4 separate regions of the Mus musculus genome follow, and all the other regions are reported to be linked to region 1. The links are microRNA targets in miRTarBase. Many come from high-throughput screens and were not tested one by one. Region 1 holds a microRNA gene; each other region holds the end of a gene's coding sequence.

Region 1 (4,069 bases):
CTAAGAGTCATAGCCTCATCTCTAACATTTCTTCACGTCCCACACGTGCTTACCAACTTAGCAAATGAGTCTCTTCTCTCCCAACTTGCACTCTACCAACAAGAGGGCAAACCGCACCAAACGATGAGTTCAAAGAAATTCAGAACTGAAACGACCTACAATGATCCCACTGTGATGGGCCATAATGCACCTTGACACTCTACGTTGCTTCACTGTACCTTGGCTGCACATTTTCTTCAACTGATAACAAGTGTTCCATTTCTTCAGCGTTTAAGCCTAGCTCCGTGCCATAGTTCTGCTGGAGCAGTTGCCAGAACTCCTGTCTGGTCAGGCTCTAAGATGACAGAAACATTGCGTGACTATTGGAAAATGCAACAGATAACGTAACTGTAATTCAAAGCACAAAGGCCAAAGTCAGAGGAGCCGTGGTGTGAGCAGTCAAGGTGTGGCTCGGATAGATCCTGGCCTATTTGTCTCCCTATTTTCTATTTTTAAAAAAAAGGGTTAATGGGAGCTGGGCATAATAGCTTAGTGGTTGAGAACTGCATATCATCCACAAGGCTCTGCAGAGCTCCATCCCCATCGCTGAAAAGGAAAGGTTAAATATGCCCATTTGATAAGAGACATTCAAGAGGAAGTCCCATGGATAAGAGCACTGGCTGCTCTTCTAGAGGACCTGGGTTTGATTCCCAGCACCTGCATGGTGGCTCACAACCACCTATGACTCCAGTTCCAGGGGATCTTCTGGCCATCTCAGGCGCACGAGTGGTGCACAGACCTATATGTAGGCAAAAATGTAAGAATAAATAATTAAACCAAGAGTTAAATCGATAAACAGATAATCGTTTCTCACAGGGTTTAACCACATTCTCAAGGCCGATCTTGGGCTTGAGCTATTCTCCAAAGAAGTTGAAACTAAAAGGCACATTCCACTTAGAAAATGGTGGGTTTTCAAAGTGTGTATTAAAGAGGCTACTGTGCAGAAGTACACTTCAGTAAAGATGCTTAAAGTGATTTTTTTTCTATAAAAGTAAGTTACTTATCATTTCTGCTAATTACTGATCTGAAATCCATACAACCTATGATCACAATTCAGAGTTGTCCTAAATGTTAACTCAGAACCAAATTTTTTTTTTTTTCCGAGACAGGGATTCTCTGTGTAGCCTTGGCTGTCCTGGCACTCACTCTGTAGACCAGGCTGGCCTTGAACTCAAAAATTCACCTGCCTCTGCCTCCCGAGTGCTGGGACTAAAGGCATGCGCTACCAATGCCCGAGAACCAAAACTTCTAATTCACGATTGTATCTGAATATTTTAAGCATTTTTAGAACTTTGCACACCAATGAGCTCCAAATTACATTTTCCTAAAATATAAAATGCAAGAAAACAACCTTCAGAATACTAATTTACTTTTAGTAAATTCTAGCTTGCTTCCTTTATAGACAGCATGTCAGTGGTAAAGTTACCAAGTACAGCCGAGAAATGTACCCGTGGTTAAGAGTGCTTGCTGCTCCACCAAAGGACCAGTGGCCACATCCTAGCTCCCACATGAGGCAAGTCACAAACATCTGTAAATCTGTAACTCCAACTGACACACCCTTCGGGATTCCATGGGCATCACACACACACACCGACCCACTTAAAAAAAAAAAAACCTTAATCACCAAATAAAGCAAGCTGTAAACTATTTGGGAAAATAACATCATATCATAGTAACAGACTGGTCTCCGGGAACATTGCAATTAATTACATGATTAAGCAAGACAAGAGAGAGAGACAGCATGGTACTTGAAGCAACTGTCAATACGATCTTCCATCCATTCCACAGGTCTTTATTGGGAATGAAACCTGTGGCACCGCTCTAGATCCAAAGGGTATAAAAACAATCTCCGAATTTAGTACTCATGTCTGAAGGATACAGGGCACTCTTAAATCAGATGCACATGATCATGTGCTAATGGGCTGGAAGAGTCTATGGGATAGGGAAGTGCAAAAGGAGTTAATATTATTGAGGACCAAGGTGGCCAGATGAGGCTCCACCGAGGAGATAGGCTTCTGGGTAAGCTAGAGGACAGACGGATTCGTGAAGAAAAACTAGAAGAGATGGAGAGAAGACGACCAACCCATAGGGAGGGCAGAGATGGACAGAAGTAACATTAGTTATGAAGCTAGCAAGTAAGTCATCTCCTAGCCCAATCAGAGAAATGTTTCAAAGTTAAGAGGTTGAATGTAAAAATATATAATGGGGCCAAATGTATAAAGGCCCTGAATTCAGCCCCGGTGTTCAGCCCCTACAACAACCACCACCGCCTTTCCCTCCTCCCAGGAGCAGCTCTGTGTCCTGGTTTTTACTAGATGACTCTCCTTACACTTCATGGAACCAGGGAGCTTAAAAGGAAAATGGTCTGGACTTGCGGCAGCTATATCCCAGTTTGCCAAGATGACCACAAAACCAGCTGATGACAATTCAGATGTCATTATCTACACTTCAAAAATGTCAAAAATATTCAAAAACCTGCAATAAAGGAGGCAAGCTAAGAAAAACATGCCTCTTTGCTTCCAGCTGATTATGTGAACGCGGAGTAGAAATCCCAGGTTGGAGAACTCTAACTGAAAAATCACACATCTAGAAAACAAACTCTGCGATGCTCTCTATTTCCTACAACTGTCCTTTTAGCGGATGAAGTCTTCTCAAGTAGAATATCCAGAGAAGAAAAATATAAAGGCCCATTAGTGACAGTTAAGGATGCTCCTGTCCTTGGTCCTAAAGGGACTCGCCTTCTACCCCAGAGATTCTGTGTGGATTCTGTTTTCATAACAATAATTCATACTGTGAATTAACTAAGTCTTCCAGAGACATCATCATTGGAACCGTTTTCATATCGCAAAAGGATGGTTAGATAGCTTTACCAGAAGAAGGCGATTTTTCAGCACAACTGTGTTAGATTATTAACCGTTCACAAAAACTTTTTTTGAAATAATAGACGTTTCCGAAGATAAAAACTAAAGCAAACAAATGACTTGGTGGTGAACACTCAGCTTCCTAACGGTAAAAGACATGCAACTGGCGAGCAAAACCTGAGAACAAAATGCTATTTAAGTTAATTAGCAAGATAATTTCAACATACATTTTCATCCATTAGTTAAATGTAAATACATAATTGGTTAATGGGAAACAAAACAAAACTCATTTAATTCATGGTGCTAATTTGTTAAAAATGACTATTTCTGCAAGGTTGTCCAGCTGTCTCAAAAACGTGACTATTTACAATCACGCTATTCAAACATGCCAGTCTGATAGTCGCAACTTTTTCAGTATTTAGCAGCTGAGCCTTAAAAAAAAACAAAAACCGACCTAAATATTATTTGAAAGTCGACCACCTACCTGCAAAGGAGCGGAGCGGCTCTGGGTTCAGCCTGCAGATAGATAACTTGAGCAAAATAAAGATGAACCAAGCAGTAATCAGATAGGAGTCAAAAGTCAGCAGATCAATTTCTGGCCCAGAAAGCTTGGTATTCTAAGTACTCTATGGAGTCTTTATCCACAGTTAGAGCTTCAAAACTTTGATAACAGCTAAGCAAACTCGGTACTTCAGTTTCCTACTCTTTACGGGGCTCTTCGCCACGTAAAAGCCAGTGCTGTGTGAAGCTTCAGTTGTTGCTTCCTGGTTCTGAGCACCAGCCCTCTTTCCAGGGGGCCGGTCAGCCTGCAGAGCTGAAGTCACACCTCACTCGACAGGTTCCTAAGCCACGCCCACTGGAAGAGGCTAGGGAAAGAATGTTTTATTAAAGGGACGGTTCCGAATTTCTTCTACTGTACACGCTGATTAGCGACAGGGTGCAAATGGAAAGATCTTACATTTGCTCAAATAATGTAAAACACCTACTGCAATATTATTTTAACCCCACGTGAAAATTAACTATGTTAAAACTTAACCTCCCCATGACAACAGTTTTCAATTCAACTCTAGCGAGTCATTGATACCTATTCTTATTCCACATCAGCACTGACCAGTATTCGCTTCAGACTCCTGCCATCACAGCTAGCATAGATCCTATCCTGAGTACCC
Region 2 (4,069 bases), not on the chromosome of region 1:
ACAGAACATGGGAGATAGCTTCAGTGTCTTGAACACAGGACTTAAGGAACCAAGGCCAAACAACTCCAGGTTATTTGTGCTGCTCCCCCACCCCCATATTACTGAGCTAAAGAATGGTGATTATTCAAAAAGCAAAACAAAAAGTCCTTATGATTCAGAGAGTGTTCTACTTAGGCAACTCAGAACACTTAAAAATAACACTGAGATGACACAATATGAATACTATCCCAGCGATTTACAGAGACTACTTTGAGGGCTGGATGGGGCACAGCCCCATCAGGTATCAGATATATTTAATACCTCACTGAAAATTGCCACCCAAAGCCCAAAGAATAAGCTTAGCACTTATTCAATCAGTTCAGAGTTGAGTTAAAGGTAAAAGAAATGATAGGCCATGACAAAATCTGTGTTAATAGTTACTGGAGTGACAAACTCAAAGGGCCAGACTAGTTTATTTTCTGTTCATTTATAAGATGAATGTTCGTCTTCCATCTGAAAGCATGTTTTAACACAAATAGACTAGATGGATTCTTATTTAATATATTTTCAATCTAAAAAAATTGTTGGTAAATGCTGCTTTTGGAATACTTTTAAATGGAAATTAGTTGGGTATTACTTAGTGGAGAAGAACAGTACTTCAGACTTACATAGCCTGAGGAGATCAAGAAGAGTAACAATGTAATTTCCTCTTTAAATGGACCTGACAGTCCCTAATGTCTTCCTCTTTTCCATCCATTCTGAGATTAAGGGAAGTATGGAGCAAAAGCCTTTCTAGAAAGCAAGGTAGGAAATAGGAAAATTATTCTAATACAAACTACTCACTGACACCATAAAGTCTATTCCGTCATTCACCCTCTTAAAGCAGGGTAGACAAGGGAGACTACTCAGCTATGGGTCTTTTAAGGTCCCATGGGGACTACCCATTGTCCTGAAGGTTTGGGAGCAGAATCCTGGCTTGTATTTTTTTTTTTTTTTTTTGGCTCTTTCAAGACAGGGTTTCTCTGTATAAACCTGGCTGTCCTGGAACTCACTCTATGGATCAGGCTGGTCTCAAACTCAAAAATCCGCCTGCCTCTGCCTCCCAAGTGCTGGGATCAAAGGTGTGCGCCACCACCGCCCGGCCTGGCTTGTATTTCTTACTGGTCCTTCACTTCAGAACATACACACTTCTTAACCATGAATCCTTGAAGCCTTTCTTCTCCCTTATCTATGCATTTCTTGAAATAAAGGGGGAAGGTGGAAGGATATCACATTGTCTTGACTAGTGCTGTATACAGAATTTAAACTGTAATTGCTTAGGTCCACAATAGCAGGGAGGAAAAATGAAGGGTGAGCTTCATAGTTTGGAGCAGGGACTGAGGAAGCATTCCCAGTGTTTGATGCAAAAAGGTAGGGTGGTCAGGGGAGGGCATCACAAGGCAGGCAAAATACCTTACTGTCTCCTTTCTCCAATCTGGAAGGTGATATAATTAGCAAGTTAAATTGTTCTGAGTTTTATAAATAGCTTTTGAAATACACCTATACTGGGTTGCAATATTACACCACATACTTCAAATTAGGAGACTTGAAACCAAACAATACAGACTATATAATACTAAATTTTGGTGAACTATTTTTCTTTAAACCATCTCTAACTTAAACAGTATTTCTTTAAAAATTCGTAGCTAGCTTTTGTTTTTTAAAAAAGACAAGTGTTTCACTGTGTACTCTGGAACTTGCTATGCAAACCATACTGGTCCTAACCCAGAGATTCACCTGCCTCTTCCTCCCAAGTGCTGAGATTAAAGGCGTGTCACCCACCATGTCCACCAACTAGTTTTTCTTTTCTCTCTTTTTTAAAAAAAGATTTCTTTATGTATATGAGTACACTGTCACTGTCTTCAGACACACTAGAAGAGGGCATCAGATCCCATTACAGATGGTTGTGAGCCACCATGCGGTTGCTGGGAATTGAACTCAGGATCTCTAGAAGAGCAGTCAGTGCTCGTAACCACTGAGCCATCTCTCCAGCTCCTTGTGTGTGTGTGGTTTTTTTTTACTTCTTTTATTTATTTAGGGTTTTTGTGATTATTTTTGTTTTGAGACAAGGCTTCTTAGATAGCCCTGGTTGTCTGGAGCTCATTATGAAGATCAGGCTGGCCTTGAACTCAGAGACTGGTCTGTCTCTGTCTCTGGAGTACTGGGAGGATTAAAAAAAAATCAAAAGGAAAGAAAAACAGCAAAATCTCACAGCCATATATTCCATTAGTCACTCACAAGACCCTTTCACAGTAAGCATCCCAGCTGTCCTGACAGCCGAGATTGTAGAATCACTTTCTAAAACAGCAAACTGTGTACTTGTGTGTGGGTGCAAAATTTATTATAGTAGGATGGCACAGGGTAGCTGCATTCATCTCTTATGCTCTGGATGCCAAAGCATAAGTATCACTTAAGACCCTTTCTACCTAAAAATGGATTGAGAGAATAGGAAAAGACTATTTTCTGTCCCATGTTAAAACCACTCTTCCAAATTCCGTGAAGTTTCAGTTTCTTCAATTTCATCCCTTTTCCAACATTACACAGTATGCGCACATGCGCGCGCGCGCACACACACACACACCCACCCGTAAAGTGTTTATTGGTGGGAGCCCATGATTGATGCAATGTTGTGATGTATTATTGCTGAACTACTGCCACGTATATACTAATCTAACTCAGCAGTCCCTTAGAAACAGAACCTCTTAACAGCAGAGCTCTGCTTTTAACAACAGTACTGATTCATGGAAGCCAAAAGCTAAGCCAGGGCTGTCAGGGTCAAAAACACTGTCTGTGCTGTTAATACCTTTTGAAAATTTCACTGAAAATAGTTCCACCTAAAGTAAAGGGATGAGCAAACCCCGAATTAAATCCCACAAAGGCCATCTTCTTCGTGAAGAACCTGAGCCAGTCTGTGAAGACATAATCAGCACTATGATCGCTCCCTCACTTTCCTTTTCATAGCCTGGGGAAAGGTCAGAGGCAGACAGCTTCCTTTCACCATGCATACCGTTCAACTTTTCTCAGTCAAAAGAAATGGAACATAAATCTGAATGTGAAGTTAATACATCATTACCTAAATACTTTGAAAAAAATGTTAAAACAAAATGTGACATATTTACATGATTTTGTAAGTGCAAACTTTGTCACCAATTCAGTCCTATTTGACTCAGACCTACTATACAAGGTGCTCTTCCTGTAAATGTGAAGACCTGCATTCTGTATTCCTGATTAATGTCTCTTGAGACAACTGAAACTTTATTTCTGTGATTTAAAAAGGGTGCAAGAACATGACTTTTTAAGCCTTCCCTTCCCTCCTTTACATACGCTACAGTCTTATTACCGAACAACAAGGCAGGAGACACAGAGTTTGGAGGGGCCAATGCAATCATCATGGCAGAAAGCTCCACATCCTTTGCACATGATCATGGCTTTCAACCGGCAGTAACATTTTGATGGTGTGTCCTCGATACTATTGTCATCAGGAAAAGTCTGAACAGGAATTGTCTGGCCATGGCTGCTGGGATTCATTGCTTGACTGGCAGGGATGGTAGTGACAGTCACTGAAAACGACATGACGTCCCCTACATTGCTAGATACCTGGCTGCCTGGTATAGCAGAGTTATGGTCCATGTCTGATGAGGTGGAGACATTGATCATGCCTCTATAGCTTGGCCCTATCTGTGTGGGGCTTCCATACAATTTGGGGGTTTGCAGTGGTGGAAGGAGTAGAGGCTGATGTGTGGGACTGTCTGCGGGAAGAGAAAGAGCAGTAGAATTGAAAAGCTCAGGGCTGCTACACACTGTCTTACCTCTCACAGCATGAGTCATCTGTTTATGTGCTGCCGGAATAAAATCTCTAGGCAGGCTCTTTTCATCAGATGCTTGGCCTCTAGAGAATATGTAATTCTCCTGGCCTAAAGTGGTTTGCTCACTCACTGGTGCCTCAGTCTTACCATTCTTGCTAGCTAAACAATCATTGGTAGATGAAGCTTCCCCATGGTGCGGATGCCTGCCAGAACTCTGGGAAGCCCATGGCTCCTCCTTCACTGAA
Region 3 (4,069 bases), not on the chromosome of region 1:
TGAAACACTGTCGCCTCCTCTCTGGGCACTACTGAAGTCACACTGTTGTCATGTATATTTATCCTCAATTTCTCCAAATCCTGAATGGCCAAAAAAATTACGAAGGGCAAAAGTCACTGTCTTTCTTCCCACATTGTTACCCCAGTGATTTCTGTCTTCCAGAATCCCCTATTTTGAAACCAGTGCTGCCAACGGGACAAACATAAGCCACGCGATTGAGATGCTCCTGGACCTGATCATGAAGCGGATGGAGCGGTGTGTGGACAAGTCCTGGATTCCGGAGGGAGTGGTACGGTCCAACGGCCATACCTCTGCGGATCAGCTAAGTGAGGAGAAGGAGAAGGGGTTGTGTGGCTGTTGAGACGCCAAGCGAGCCCCGTGGCAGCAGCGCATGACCCCTGGTTGCCGCCAGCTCCGCTGTAGAGACCAAGCCGGCAGCTCGATGAGATGAGCAAACAGCCCCTCCTATGCCAGGTGCCTCTCCTCGCCTCCAGGAGGGTCACCTCGGGCATCCATCTGTAACGCGCTGCAGCTTTGTATGATTTAGTCCATGAATCGGAAGAAATACTTCACAGAGCCAAAAGTGTCTTATAAAAGCCCACGGTGGCGGGTCATTTAGGGATCCAAGATTTCAGCCATGAAAGATTTCATCTGTTATGTAGAACGCTGATGGTCCTGTCGCCTGCCTTAACACAGTCGCCTGCCTCAACACAGGACAGCCCTAGAGTCTCATTGAAGACATTAAGATCTTTGAGCAAGGAAAAGCTAGCACGGTCTTGAGAATCCAGATTTCAAAATCCATACTGTAGACTATCACTCTCAAACACGTGAATGTCAATAAGTGTGTACACACAGATCAATGTCTTTCAGCATTGCTTTTTAACATAGCCTTTCCTTTGACATGAGCATAAACAGATGGCGGCCATACCTATAGACTCTGAATAGATCGGATTGACTCACTGTGAGTTTGGGGGTGGGGGGAAGGGTTTATGGAGCAGGGGTGGGTGAAGTAGGGATCAGTCAGATTGTCTGCTGTTAGCCGAGGGGTCATGAAGACTCTTGTGTCTATCCATGGTCTGTTGGGTTCAGTGCACCTCTGAACATCGCTCATGCTTCTACAGTATGTATGTTTGCATGTATGTATGTATGGTCTCTTCATATGTACGTATGTTTGGTCTGGCACCTCAGGATCTGCTTTCACTTGTCTGGAGACTGCCAATCTGACTTTTCCCATCAAGTTTTGGTGGTGGTGGTGTTTCCCAGTTTGTTTTCTCCCCCCCCCCCTTCCCCCATTAATGTAACTGAAGGAATCTCTTTTTAATTAAACGGCGTGTTTATTTGCTATCTGGAGGGAGGGAGTTCACTGTCTGTATTTAAGCAGTCACATTTGTGGGCCAGTTTAAGAGAAGTGTTTTGTAGCCTGTAGCTTTCACTGGGAATGTGGGGCACTGATGTTTTTTGATAGTGGAAAACATACTTTGCATGGTAGTTTCAAGTGGCTTTTTTTTTTTTTTTTTGAGACAGGGTCTTTTCATATAGTTTCTAGCTGGCCCAAAACTCCCTTTGTAGACTAGGCTGGCCTCAAACTCACAGAGATCCACCTGTCTCAGCACCCTAAGCACTGGGGATTAAAGGTGTAGTTGTCACACCTGGCTCTCAGAAGACTTTTAAAAAATTGCACATCTATCATTTATTGCCATTGTCCTTTGACCCCTCCTCAGAAAAAAATAGCCATGGCCACTAAGCTTTTACTGTTTTTGAAATAAGGGACTCTTTGAAACACCAAACTCATCATTGAGGCCTATACATCTGAATCCTATATACCCAGGACATGAGGCCCATCATAGCCGTGCCTTCCAGCGTTGTTCTAAGACTTCAGTGGAGCATACTGCTTGTTTGGCACATTTCTTAATGTCTCTCTTGTAAATACATCAAGTCAATATGCCAGACAGGTATTGGTGGTTCGTTCTTTTCATCTCCCATACTTGAGAAGCAGAGGCAGGCGATGAGTTTGAAGCTAGGCTTCACTATAGAGTGAGTTTCAGGACAGCCAAAGATACATAGTGAAGTCCTGTTTCAAAAAACAAACACACACTAGGCAGTGGAGGCCCATGCCTTTCATCCCAGCACTCAGGAGGCAGAGGCAGGTGGATTTCTGAGTTCGAGGCCAGCCTGGTCTACAGAGTGAGTTCCAGGACAGCCAAGACTACACATAAAAAAGTGAATGTTTGCACAGTGGCATAGTGCGGGTTTTGAGAAGTGAGATGCCGCTCCTGTTGGCTCCACACCAGGCACGGGGCTTAATGTGTGTGATAGTTGCCCAACACAAGAGCTGCCTTGAATTGTTGAAACAAAACAAAACTGAGTTCTCTGAAAATGGTTTAAATTTGATAAAAAAAAAAAAATAACCGTACTTTTTGTCACTGTATTTTTCTATTTACAAATCTGTATAAAAAATGCTCTTTAGTGAACTTTGTGCCAATTAAACCATAATAATAATAAAAAAAAATAATAAAAGAGGTCCAGTATATCAAGTTCTGGTGAATATTTCAAACTAGGAATTGTGATGCCAAAGGAACCCGAATTCAGGAATGCAGAGTCCACGAGATGCTTGCTGAGGACCCTGGCCAAAACAGCATCCAGGGAAGATAGCTCGAGATAGATTTTTTTTTTTTGGTCAATTTTATTTCATGTATATGAATGTTTGCCTGTGTGTCTGTGTCCTTTGTGTGCATGTCCTTGGAGACCAGAAAAGGCCATTGGATTTTTTGGGACTAGAATCACAGACAGTTGTCAGCTGCCATGTAGTTGCTGGGAATTGGACATAGGTCCTCTAGAAGAGCAGCCAGTGCTTTTAACATCTCTTCACCCCCAATTCAAAATGTTTTATCCAATATTTATTGAGTACCTTTGAGAGTTGGTGAACTAGGTAGTCTGATGGAGCAAAACAAAAATGGTTAGGTCCTGCACTCAAAGCAGAGCTGGGAGTGGTGCCAGGGCACTGGAGAAGGCTTGGCTACTGACGGAAAGAGACTCAGCCTCCTCTCAGATGCACATCCCTGAGTTGGCTCTGATCTAGCACTCATGGGTCTGTCTGTGATGCTAGCTTTCCAGAGGTCTACTTGGTGCTCTCGCCAAGACTGTTCAAATACCACCTTGTCCAATCATGTCCTATAAAAGAGCAGCCACTTTCATGGTCCACTAGGATGCCCCATGCTGAAAACCTGGTGCCTGGTTTGCTAACCCTATTGAAGAGGATTTGTCAAAGTCTGCAAGCCATAGCTAAAAAGTGGAGGTTCCAACAGGGGAGGGGTCTTTAAGTGTTCATGCTCACCACCCATCTGTCGGTGCTTAATCTGCAACAGCCCTGGTGCTCTGCACATCTGCAGATGGGAACTCATCAAAGACAAAGAAAAAAAAAAAAAAACAACCAAAGAAAGAAAGGACTTGACTGCTCCTCCGTAAGGTGGAGGAGGAAGTTCATTATAGATATGTGCGTAAGCATAGCCAGAGGCAGACACATCTGGGAGAGTCCATAAAGAGCTTGACCCTGAACCATGGGAGAGGGGAAGGAAGAGAGGGGAGCCATCGTCCAGGAGGCCCTTGGTACAAAACGGTGTGCAGATATCCAAATTGTTTGGATTATATAGGGAAGAGCCTCTGGGAGAAGGGCATGAACAGAAAACAAAACCTTAACTTTGTTAATGAAGATAGCCTGCCTCCAGGTCTTCTCTGGGACTAGAGTTACCTTATCAGGTGTCTTCAAGAAGCACCCAGGGATAGGATAGAAATTTCACCCAAATCCTGTAGACTATTGTAAAAAAACAAACAAACAAACCAAAAAATCCATTGCCCTATTGTAAATATGGTGGCATCCCTGGGAGACAGAAGCTAGCAGACAGAGCTCTATGAGTTCCAGGCCAGCCAGGGCTACTGGGTGAGACCCTGTCTCAAAACAACATACAAGATACAATGAGCAGTGTCCATCCTTTTTGATTGATTGCTGCACCCATTCTGCCAGGTATGACTTTTTCTTCATGGTGCTTTATCTCCTAACCCTCGTGTATAA
Region 4 (4,069 bases), not on the chromosome of region 1:
TGTGGCCTCGCAGAGGAACTGGAGCGGGAGCAGTCCAAGGCGCAGAGCTCTCAGCCCAAGTCAGCCTGTGGAAATGTACGTACTGCACCTCCTGACACCCACCAACCCCTGACCCTAACTGCACACAGAGTAGCTGATCTTAAGGGATTTGTCACTGAGTGTTGTCATAGTGGGCCACGAGTGCAGCTGTAATGAGAAGAGGTTATCCCGAGAGGGAATCGGCATTCTCATGCCAGGCTGACAGTGGCTATCAGTTTTTATTTTGGCTGACCTTGCTGTGATCTCCTGTAGCAGAGGCTGCCTGAGCTACCTCTCCTCCGTCCCATGGGCTTCCACATAACTCAGGCAGGCCATAAACCTGCCTCAGCCTCCCAAGTACGTCAGTACAGCTGTGTTACCAACTCTCGTGGCTGGCGCCCGTACTGACTGACGTTTCATAGAACAAGAGACCCGTGGGTGTACGCAGGTGCCCTTTCCCTTTGGCCCTTAGCCTCTCTGTGTGACTGTTGTTTCTCCACAGTGCTACCTGGGTGACGCTTTCCGCTGTGCCAACTGCCCCTACCTCGGGATGCCAGCCTTCAAGCCTGGCGAGCAGGTGCTCCTGAGCAATAGCAATCTCCAGGATGCCTAGGAGGGACCTCAAGCCCACACACCTCCTCCTCCAGCAACTCCTGTCCTCAGCTCCTCCCACGGCCTCCTCCCACCTCTGGATTCAGGCGCTCTGAAAACACTCACAGGGAGAGGCTTGCAGCCGAGCGAGCGAGCGAAGCTGCTGTGGGCAGTGGGGTGGGGTGCTGCTGTGTCTTGAAAGACCAAGGATTGAGGGGACCTGTCTCTTAGTGTTAGGGGAAGAGGGTGGATGCGCCTAAGGAACTCTGCTCCTGGTGTTACAGTGCTGTCCCTCTCCACCCTTGAGTATTTATGCTGAGTAAGCTCCAGGCTCCGCTCAGTGATGCTGCCACCTGCTGGACTTCCTCAGGATGTAGTTCTTGGAGCCATGGGTTAGCTGTCAAAGGGCCTCAGGGGCACCAAAGAAGTCACTCCCCCAGTTGTGATCCATCTTGTGTCCCTCTGCCTTTCTCACCTCACCCCGTTTTACTGTAGTGTTGTATCTGTGTCCTGTTGTCATTTCTGTTAAATGGTATTAAACTTTTGTGTTTTTATGTCTCCCTTTTACTGTGAGTGTGTCTTTGTGTCTGTGTGTGGTAGTGAAGGGTTGTCTGTCACCCATCCACATTCAGCTTGGACTATGAAAATTGTTTTTGAAGAAGTCATCGTCACACAGGAGTGGGGCCAGAACTGCCCACTAGCTAGGACTAGGATCTGTCTTCACCTCCTGTAGGAGCCAGGTGGAGAATGCAGGTTAGGGCAGGCTGGACCAGCAGCAGGAAGTATCAGAGCAGGAGGCCCTCTTCAGTCTCCCTCCTGCCTCTGCCCACATCCCTGTTATCCATCATGCCTGCTGTTACCTGTCCTTGTTACTTGATCTGCTTAGCTAGCTTCTGCTGCTATGGGTGTGGTGAAAAGCCCTTTGAGAAGCAGAATTTCTGTTGACCCCAGTGACCCTTGCCTTGTGTTACCTCCCCTCCAATTACAGCAAACCCTGAAAACCTCTGGTGTTTCTCTTCTGAGTGGAAGAGGCTTTGCTAAGTGAAAGGGTTTTACAGATGGACCCACAGTCCCTGCTGATTAAAGTTAATTAGACGGGAGATTATCCTTGGCCCATTCTCTTGATCCTTTAAAAGAATTAGAAAACAAAGGCTTTGTTTTGCTGCCTGTGCACAAGCTAGTGGTGAAGTTTTAGGAGGTGTGTACCTCTTAGCCCTACTAAGAAAGTGGGAGCCAGGCAGTGGTGGTGTATGCCTTTAACCCCAGCACTTGGCAGCCAGAGGCAGCCGGATTTCTGAGTTCAAGGCTAGCCTAGTCTACAGAGTGAGTTCCAGGACAGCCAGGGCTACACAGAGAAACCCTGTTTTGGGGGGAAAAAAAGGGTGGTGGTGGGGTGGTGGTGGTTACAGCCCCACAGCAAGGAGCTTGGTTCTGTCATCACTGTGCCAGCTTGAAAGAGGACTCGCTTTCAAATGAGAACACAGCCTGTGCCTGAATTAATGGCTGGGATCCATGGATGGAACACTTGGGTATGCACAAAGCCTTGTTTTTGATTCCTAGTACCAAAACCAAAAAAGGTTTTCTCAGGCCAGAGCAATTGACAGAAAAGCCAAGATAATAAGTGGGGGTGTGGCTGACTGATTTGTCACACAGCAACAAAAACTCAGCCCCAGATGGGTTTAGGTTTAGCTGACCAACTGGCCCAGTCACAGACCTGTTGTCGGCCTCTACTGCAGTTACCTAGGTGAGGGACAAACACTTGAGCCTCTAGGAGGAGGAGATGCTCCTGGACCAGAGCTTCCTTGTGGGCTTAGTAAACGCCACAAGCCCTTCAGACCTGCTTGTTGATTGCTAGCTATGACTGGCACGAAGGATAATGATTTGGTTGGCTTGGTTAATAGGGCCCTGGCGTCAGTCTTTGTGTCCTTCCACAAGGGCCAGAAGGAGCATATCCAGTTTAGTCAGTCCTAGGCTGGTGGAGAGAATCCTTGCCCAGAGCACATGTAGGCCTCTGCCTGGCTGCTGCTGCACACCAAGGAATTTGCAGTGGTAGGGGCACAGCTATTTGTCTGGCCAGACTCTTGAGTCTGTGACCATAGCCTAAGGAGGAGTTTCAGCCATTGGTAAGCTTACAGTATAGAACCCAAAAACAAATTCAACCTAAACTCCCATGGATACATGTGTGGGCCTGGAAGCCTTGGTTTTGTAGTAAGTGTAATGGTTTCTTTGTGTTTATGTGTATACAGGCACACGTGCCATGGTGCACCTGGAGGTCACGGAATAACTTGCCAGAGCTGGTTCTCCTTCCACCACGTGGGTCCCAGGGATCAAAGCCAGGTCCTCAGGCTAGGCAGCCATTACCTTCCCGCACTGAGCCATCTCATTGGTTCTTGTCTTTTGTTTTTGTGAGACTGGGTTACATGGAAGCTGGGCTCTCCTCCATCTCCCTCCCTCCCCCTCTCTTCCCCTGTCTGAAACAAACTCTGGTTATCGTAGCCTGAATCTCACCGTGTAGCCCAAACTAGCCTGCACCTCATGGGGCTCCTCAGGCTCCCGAATACTGGCATTGCAAGCATGTCCCATCATGCTAAACCTGGCTTTTAAAAAAATGTGGTTTTTTTTTTTCATTTTATGTGTATGTATGCATATATGTCTGTGTACCAGGTTTGTGCAGTGCCCAGGGAGCCCAGAGAGGGTGTCAGCCCCCCTGGGATTGGACTTAGAGCTGTGAGCCACTATATGGGTGCTGGGAATCAAACAGGTTCTCTGTAAAAGCAGCTAAGTTCTCTTAACCATTGAGGAATCTTCCAGCTCCCTGGCTTCTTAGCTCTATGGAGTCTTTGGCTTAGAATCTGGTATTGTGGCATCTAGTTTCCCCTCGTTCTGAAATCACTTGGTTAGTATAGGCAGCAGAGGCAGGCCACATCTTTCCTGGGCTTTGGTGACAGCTGGGCCTTAAGGGGTCTTGGAGCTGAAGCATGAGGGGGTGTGAGTGAGACAGGTTGCAGAGGTGAAGGCCCTCGGGCTTTGCAGATACTCCTGGTTGAGCTGAGTCTACAGGGAAGCCTGCCATTGCTTGAAGCTGATAGTTCTCTGATGTTACAAAATACTGCTTCACCCAGTATGTGGTGATGGCGATTCGGAAGGCGAAGCAGAAGCCCTACCAGATAAGAGTGAAGGCGTGGCCAGATGGGGACACAGCAGGATTTGTTTGGACAGTTCAACACTGGCTGACCATTGGAATCACTGGGCAGCTTCCAAAAATAAAAACAACCTCCTGTGCCTGGGTGTTATTTACAAAGACAAAAATCAGAATCTTCTGGAGTGGTCTAGGGTAGCAGTGTTTCACGAGGCTTTCCCAGATGATTCTAAAGTGCATTCTGTATTAGAGAAGACTTTTCTCACACAGCAGAAAGCAAGGTAAAAAGCATCCCAGCCAGGTATTGCAGTGCGCCTGCAA

What was found. Region 1 holds the annotated microRNA mmu-miR-3470b (UCACUCUGUAGACCAGGCUGG, at 1,182-1,202, shown strand). A microRNA usually pairs through its seed, bases 2 to 8, with sites in the 3' UTR of a target mRNA and lowers its output. Matches are read on the target gene's strand: a 7mer-m8 pairs with bases 2 to 8, a 7mer-A1 pairs with bases 2 to 7 and ends in A, and an 8mer does both.
Region 2: the mRNA of Asxl2 is a reported target of mmu-miR-3470b. Seed matches in the 3' UTR shown: 7mer-A1 at 1,028-1,034.
Region 3: the mRNA of Rab27a is a reported target of mmu-miR-3470b. Seed matches in the 3' UTR shown: 7mer-A1 at 2,032-2,038 and 8mer at 2,181-2,188.
Region 4: the mRNA of Ciapin1 is a reported target of mmu-miR-3470b. Seed matches in the 3' UTR shown: 8mer at 1,929-1,936 and 7mer-A1 at 3,780-3,786.

Annotation. Positions count from the first base shown.
Region 1 is chr16:44,012,704-44,016,772 of GRCm38, forward strand. It overlaps Mir3470b (microRNA 3470b), which reads left to right and starts at 1,149; the gene lies at 1,149-1,274. Gramd1c (GRAM domain containing 1C) reads right to left here. Exons shown (of 17, transcript NM_001359085.1): 6 at 219-334.
Region 2 is chr12:3,501,658-3,505,726 of GRCm38, reverse strand. Asxl2 (additional sex combs like 2, transcriptional regulator) reads right to left here. Exons shown (of 13, transcript NM_001270988.1): 13 at 1-4,069. The coding sequence ends at 3,355. Among named protein-coding and RNA genes, the nearest start is that of Dtnb, 69 kb to the left of the region's middle.
Region 3 is chr9:73,095,096-73,099,164 of GRCm38, forward strand. Rab27a (RAB27A, member RAS oncogene family) reads left to right here. Exons shown (of 6, transcript NM_023635.6): 6 at 163-2,519. The coding sequence ends at 361. Among named protein-coding and RNA genes, the nearest start is that of Khdc3, 5.3 kb to the right of the region's middle.
Region 4 is chr8:94,819,659-94,823,727 of GRCm38, reverse strand. Ciapin1 (cytokine induced apoptosis inhibitor 1) reads left to right here. Exons shown (of 9, transcript NM_134141.4): 8 at 1-75; 9 at 521-3,910. The coding sequence ends at 631. Among named protein-coding and RNA genes, the nearest start is that of Ccl17, 11 kb to the right of the region's middle.